2 linked regions of the Caenorhabditis elegans genome follow. The protein of the gene in region 2 purifies or fractionates together with the protein of the main gene of each other region. This does not show direct contact. Each region holds a gene or a part of one and is shown on either strand. Other genes may lie near its edges.

Region 1 (3,754 bases), on a different chromosome or scaffold from region 2:
TTTTAAATCAAGCTATTATTAAATGAACGTACCTGCTCACGGCTTCTTGATGACAAGCTTCATATAATTGTGGATCCATTGTCCAATCTCTAGCCATGAAATATTGAACTTCGAGCAGACGTTTTTCACATTCAGGAACCATATCAGGACTATCCACATTTCTCATGAGGCATGTTAAAGTAGCAGTTTCTGAAACTGCGTCTTGGGCACAAGGACCATCAATAAGACTTCTGCACGATCCATACAGAACTTTGTCGACTTTATAGTTTCTTCCGATATCTGCAACTTTAACGACTTGTTGAACAGCTTGAAGACATTGAGCTCCCAGTTTTAATGTTTCATTTCTGGATTCAGCATGCTCCATCAAACAGTGCAATGTTCTTCCTTCGGCCTCGATATCTCCACGTGGACTACACCATTTATCAATTTCTTGTGCACAGTTGAGTACAAGCTCTGGAGCCATTCGGAAGTGCTGCATCATCATTTGACGATGAGTAATCATTTCATGAGCACATTCTTTTGATGGTTGAACTTCCTTGTGTTCTGGTTGATTTGCTCCATTTTCAAGACACAAAAGGATCCATGCCAGATGGAAATGAGCGGCTGATTCAATTTGGTTCTGTGGTTCACACTTGTATCTGGTCAATTCTGGTTGACAAGCTTTTGTGAGTGGATGAGCCATACGGTAATCTCTTCCCATAAGATATGCTCTCTCGGCAAGCAAATTTCCACACTGAAAATTTTATTAATGTATAATTTTGAGTCGTTTTTTTTCTTTTTTCTTGAAAATATGCGATCCAGTTGTATAAATAAATGGATTACGGAATCTAAGGATTGTAATTTTTGCATTTTCAAGAATTCAATAGTCAAAAAAAACTGCACCTGTGTAAATAAACACATGAGAATTTTCGGAAAAACTAAAATATTCTGATAAAATCTCACCTCTGGATCCATGAATTTATCATTTCTATTCATCATGAGACATTCGAAAACCTTTCCTTCGCCAGATGGAACATCTTTACAGTATCTCTGAAAAAATGTTTTGCTCATTTATAAAATTCAAACTCCTAAAAACTTACCTCTCTGTCTAATCTGCAAGCAAAGAAGAGCGGTCTGTCTAAATGGAAATCATCAGCCTGCATCTCTGCAAGTCGGAGAACTTCATGTTTACAATCATCTCCAAGTATTTGCAATGCATCTGCTTGAGTCTTTGCATTTTTCACAACTTTATCCAAAATACATTCCAAAGCCATTCCTTGCGTATGTGCGACACGAACACCTTTGTGTGCTGGATCAGGAGTAAGGACGTTGCATTTGAATTTATCGAGAATAGCACGGCATTTTGTTACGAATGGACCAACGAGACGGAAATCCGAGAAAGCTAGTCTCTCTGTTCTGGCTTCAAAACGAAGAGAAATTTAAATGTATTTTGATGAAATTTTGTGTTTTTAAAATTACAATACTCACCTAAAAATGCGTGGCATTTTCCAGTCTCAGTAACATTTTTTGTGAATTCCATGAGACAACTGAGAGCAAATCCAGGTTGAGTTTGAGATGTACAAAGATTCATTGCAGCATTTCCCTTCAACTCTTCCTCGCAATATTGTTTGGCCGCGGATACGAAACGCTCGTCTTGTGTTATTTTGACCTTGAAATCCCAGACAAGTTGCTCACACTGTTCGGATAGAGTCGCTGTCTCAGAAAATCCGGCATCTTGAAGGCATTCAAGAATCGACATGTCGCTTGTTAGATCTACATCAGGCTGAAATATTTTATTTGCCTATCAATAGCTTTAATGTCAAACTCACTCGGCTACAATGTTTATGAATATCTGCTTTGCATGCATCGAAACTGGCCAACTTCTTATCTGGATCGTTCGCTACGTTTTGTTGTTGAGCTGAAATTTGAATTTATTTTGAATCAATTGAATATTCCTGACATACCTGTTGTCAGCCAACAAACCGACGCGAGTATCAGTGGAAACCTCCACATATTTCAGGTTCAGGACCCTGAAAATAAATTTTCAACGTGTGCAAATAGAAAAACATTCTGAAAGTGACGTCATTTGAGAAAAATGTCGAATTTTAATTGAAACGACAACAATTAGGTATATAAAAATGTGGTGAAAAGTGGACAAGTGTGCACACAGAAACCCTCTTTTTTGTCGGAAAATATAGAAGATAGAGAAAAAGACTTGAAAAAATAGAAAACGGATCCTGGAAAACAAATAGAAATCCGTTGGAACCTGGGCACGGAAACTTGCGGACCAGTGGTGTTTGCACACAATGCGCACTAAACAACGCGCAAACTATTGTCAGAAAACCTGACACGTCATCTTATTTAATGAAAATACTATGCCTCTGTAATTAAATATTATTTTTTGAGAATTCAACTAACTTTGCCTGAACTTGAAAACTGAGAACAAAAAAATTTCGTAATTTTTGCGTCAAAACTACAGTACCCGGTCTCGGCACGACAGTTTTTGTTAAATGCAAAAGGGCATGCCCCTTTAAACAGTACTGTAGTTTCGAATGTGTGTTTTTGCGGACTTTTATTGATTGATTTGAATACCGTATTCTTAGCACAAAATTTCGCATTTGGGGAATAATAATTAAACTTTTCAAAATAAATAATGTCCATTTTTGATGCTAATTCTCACAAATTTAGGTAGGAAAAAATACGCTAGAAAAACTAATGATTTGCCGAGAAATTACAACCGGGCCACGTGGCTATATTGTTAAAAACAAAACGCCCTCCGTCCACCCGAAACAATATTTTTGAGATAATATTATCGAACAGAACAGGCCGATCGGTAAACTAGGCATAAAAGGAGAGAGGACGAGAAATAGAAGAGAACAATGCGCTCAGGAAGGTGAAGAGACTTGTTTTGTCTTCTGCAGTCCGACAGAGAAAACTTACGGCATCAAGAGAAGGAGGATCTCGACGAATAGACCGATGCCCATTCGTCGTATAGTCGGTTAAGTGGAGATGACGAATTAATCGGACGAAAAAAAAAACGAAGAGAAACTTTTTTGGTTGTTAGGCTACGGAAGTTCAATATGCAAAGCTAGGTCCTTTTTCCATCGAAACCACAATTTATACTTGAGTATTTCACGCGGAACCTTCATTTAAATGGAATATAAATATCAATCGATTCACTTCATTCGCATGTATTTACAGAAAGAAACAGTATCAACTAATTGATTATTCTGGACCAGAGAATTCCGATACATGAAGATCTCTTCTAATATTATTAGGTGGAGAGCTTCTCGTGGTTCGAATCTTTAAATCAGATGCTTCACAACTCTCAGCTTCACCTTTGTTTCGATAATCATCGCAGCAGTCGAGGAAATCCTGAAATACATTTTTAATGTATGAATGAGAAAACAAAAGTTCAAAACAAACCTGTGCCAAACATCGTTCTCTTTTACAGTTTCTCACAAATTTGGTGACATCTATTAGCTCATGATCCTCGGCAGTGATCTCTTCTTTTTTATAGAAAACTTTCACAAAATATTTTCCATTATCCTTCCACGTTTCAAATATGATCATTGAGTTGTATTCGGGATATTTGTCGAGTCCAACAGTTTGTTCCAACACATTCAATGAATCGAGCACTCCCATTAGAATCCAGTCTTGCTGAAATATTTTATTATTAGGATTAATCAGCAAATACTGATTTTGAACTTGGAAATAACTCTAGAAACTCGAAAAAAGAGACACCAATGGTGTTTTAGATTAACCATATCATCCA
Region 2 (3,754 bases):
TTTCTCTGAAAATAGTTTTTATTTCAGTTGGAACAATTGAGAAAGTAGTCAAAAAATTGCCCGAAAGTTGAAAATTTCATTTAAAAAATTTAGAAACATTGCCAGATTTTTCGGTAATTTTCAGCTTTCAGACAGATATTGCGCATTTTTAATTAAAATAACAACTACTTTCAACTAAAGCAAATTTTTTAATTTTATGTATCATTAAATTTTAATTTTTAAAAAATATTAGCATAGCATGCTACACTGGCTCATTTTTTAGAATTGCTAGAATTATTGAAGTTTGTTTTTTTTTTGAAAAAATACTTCTGAAAAAAGACCAAATTGAGAATGTCAATTAATTCAAAAATTGTCAACTGTTTGAATATAACTTTAAAATTCTTTCGGAAAGTAACTTTTCTCTACTTCTTATTTCAAAGTTTTAATCACTTACAGATGAATCATGCCTATGTGGTCGAGCGACGGGACCAGCTTCCAGTGTCTGCTCCTCATCAGCTGAATCTTTCTTTTTCTCAGCAACAGGTACACCTGGAGCGGGATTTCCTCTGGCTTCTTCAACTGCTTCATGTAATCCTTCTGCTCCAACTGCAGGAGTCTCTCGATCCTCTTTGGCTGCACCATCAGCTTCATCTTTTGGAGGATCTACCACAGCTGGTTTGTCAACGTTCGCATCTGGATCTTCTTCCCCTTTTCCACCTTCCACTTCTTGTTTTGGTTCAAATTCTGGAGCTGCATTTTCTTTTTCCTCTTCTTTCGCATCTTCTACTTCTTTTGGTGCTTTCTGTGCAAAAGGGGCAATTGTTTCTACAACAACAGTCGTTGCTTCTTGAATCACATCAGTTTTTGCTGGAGGTGTTTCTTCTTTTCCAGTCAGTAATTCTTCTTTCTTCTCGTTTTCAGTTTTCGACTCCTGAAAAATTATAAAAACTGAATGTAACTGAAATTTATAGGGAGGGCTTGCTTTAGATATCTCAAAAACTTCCAAAAATTTTTATCGTGTGTCACAATTTCAAACAAAAAACCAAATTTGCTAAAGTCTTAAGTTTCGCCAACTTTTCCATGACACAACTGTTGGAGGTTAATTTTTTTATTATTATCATTCTTTATTTCATATTTCGGCAATAAGAAACATGGTGATTCAATAACAACTGTATTCCAACAGCCTCGACAAGGAAAAAAACTAATGATTTTAACAAAATGTGGGTTTTTTTTTGAAATTCAAACCCGTCATGAAAATTTAGAAAATGTTTTTTTAATCTCATCATGAAATTCGATCGTTTCGGGCCAGTTTAGTCTATTTAAGAAAAACCCAAAGCATTTTTAAATTGTATTTCTTACAATAATTGTTGCATTTGTAGCAACTGGAATCGGAGCTACTTGATCTGGTGCAATTGTGAGATTTGCTGTTGAACTGAGAAGTGTCAAAGTTGGAGGTGTTGTGCTTTTTTCAGATGATTTTCCTTCTTTTTCATTTTCGTTTTCATCAATTGGAGGTCTCACATCATCCACATCTTCAGGATTTACATCGTCTTCTGGTTTTTCTTGTGCAGCAGCTGATGTTGCCAAGAATAGTAGAACCACGACGAAGAGTCGTAATTTCATGAGAGAAAAGCTGTAAACATGCAATTTTTTGAAAAAAGGTATTAAAAACTAATATCTGAACAAAAAAAATAGTAGAACACGGAGAGACTCCAGAAAAACCTCAATACTAAAATAGCAGCAATTAGGTGTCTCAGAGAACATGAGAGAATAGTTGTGACCGAATGAGGTCAGTTACTCTACGATGAGAAGGCAATAACGGTCGGTAGTACGAACGGAGAACTAGAAAAAAAAACATTGAAAGTTCACGATTATCCATCGTTTTCTTCTCAAAGACATGTGTTTCAAAAATGTTTACATTTGCCTGAAGTGGCATATTGGAAAGAGAAGTGCGCTTTCGCTCGTAAAAATCAATGAAACAGTTGAGTTAATCCGTCGGAAACAGATCATGTTAATCTCGAAAAAAAATTGTTGCAATTGAAAACTACAATTTGGAAAGTATTTGAATTGTGGTTTTGATTTTGATCATAGATAAGTATTCATTCATAAATGTCTACACAGCTCAAATATTTCTAGAATTAATATTGCGAAAAAATTCAATATCAGTGGAGGTTTAGCACATCATGCAATGTCGACAAACAAACAGAAACGTAAAGTAGAGAACGTGGCATGTTTTGATTCCTGGGAAAATGTTGATTCAAACTATTTCGAAACAAATTAAAGTGAGAAAATATATTGCAGAAACTGAATTATTGACATTTTAATTAGACTAAAAGTCAAAAAATGTAAGAAAACCAACTTGTATCAGCAAAAAACCACTGAAAACCAATAAAAATGTAAAAATGACAAATTGTCGTAATATCTGGTGTCGGTTGTGCATTGGTACGCAATCTTGTGTACTCCTCGCGGACAAGTTTTCTGTTAATTTTTTTTGTTGGTTTTTTTCTATTTGTCCCGCTTTTATTTGTACTGAAATCTTTAAACCGATATAATTTTTTAATTCACTTTAGTAACAATAATAGTGTCGATATCACCGAATAGGTAAGGCAATGGTACAATAAAAACCATGCAAATTTAAGGCTTAAATTACAAAAAATGAGTTGAGAGTTATTATTTTGAATTATTAATTTCAGCCGTTTGTTTCCATTCGATATCTAATAATAGACGTTGGTGAACAAGTTTAAAATGTCTTTTCCTTTCTTCGATTCAGCAGTCTCGGCTAGAGCCTTTTCCTTGAGCTTGTCTCTTTGCTTCGCATCTTCCAGATTAATTGTTTCCATAGGGAGTGAGATGTATCCGAGATCAAGGTTACGAATCTGTAAAATTTGAAACTAATTTTTCGTAATTCAATTTTAAAAGTACCTGTGAGACACGAGCTCGAATTTTCTCGCTCTTCCCGTTTTCGATTTTTTCGAGATATTTGGCCGCTCTCTTGTTGCTCCCTCTTCGGTGGAAGAAATTATACATCTAAAAGAATATTTTGATATTTAAATAGTTGTTATAAATATTTTAAATCAGACTCACAAAAATACTGTGATTCCACGAATCCTTTTTCGATCCCCGATTTGAGGACTGTTCGCGTGGTTTTGACGAAGACACTTCTACCCACTGGTCGATCTCTTCTTCTGATGGCATGCATTTCTTTGTGTGTTGTTGGCATTTGGAAAGAAGAAGGAACAATTGATCCTCAGTTAGTGGTTTTTCGTGACATTTCAACAAATTGATCGTCGGAGTCCTTTCAAGTCTTACGTGGAGGGGAACAGAAGGAGCCATTATTAGGAGCGGTCTGAAATTTCTCAATTTACTAAACAATTGAAGAAGGACTAACGTTTTTTGCTTGTATTGACTCAACATGCGTCTAATTCTCAAAAATACAAACCGGAAAGTAGGCAAAATTGAAGATTTCAGCTAAGGTTAGCCTTTTTTCGACATTTTTAAGAATTTTCATTACGAAATTCGTTAATTTGTGCGCATTTTGAGATTATGCAAGCAAAAAATTAAACAAAATACACGCAGGAGAAAAAAAATTGTACAAAATTACTCACGTTTGCGCAATGTCATCGCAATCTAACTCCTCGAAAACAAAAATTCCCGCACTTTTCAAATGGTAGATCACTATTTCTCTAGGAAGATCAAATATATTTTTACTGCATTCTTGTTCTTTATTCATGAATTCAGCGTGTTCGTTTTTGTTTTCTTTTAATAATCTATTAAG

Evidence for each region.
Region 1: the proteins of tgn-38 (region 2) and F14E5.2 fractionate together in Caenorhabditis elegans (co-fractionation; one large-scale study listed by BioGRID). This does not show direct contact.

Annotation. Positions count from the first base shown.
Region 1 is NC_003280.10:8,426,847-8,430,600, forward strand, and holds the start of F14E5.2 (Golgi apparatus protein 1 homolog), read right to left. Parts: upstream 2,010-3,754; 5' UTR 1,993-2,009; coding exon 1,944-1,992; intron 1,898-1,943; coding exon 1,809-1,897; intron 1,763-1,808; coding exon 1,468-1,762; intron 1,400-1,467; coding exon 1,080-1,399; intron 1,030-1,079; coding exon 943-1,029; intron 734-942; coding exon 33-733; intron 1-32. Other genes in the region: acp-2 (ACid Phosphatase family), read right to left, coding at 3,205-3,354, 3,406-3,639.
Region 2 is NC_003282.8:12,027,563-12,031,316, forward strand, and holds the start of tgn-38 (Trans-Golgi network integral membrane protein 2), read right to left. Parts: upstream 1,613-3,754; 5' UTR 1,603-1,612; coding exon 1,339-1,602; intron 911-1,338; coding exon 434-910; intron 1-433. Other genes in the region: T12G3.11 (uncharacterized protein), read right to left, coding at 2,142-2,210; T12G3.6 (RWD domain-containing protein), read right to left, coding at 2,694-2,855, 2,902-3,006, 3,064-3,325, 3,585-3,709.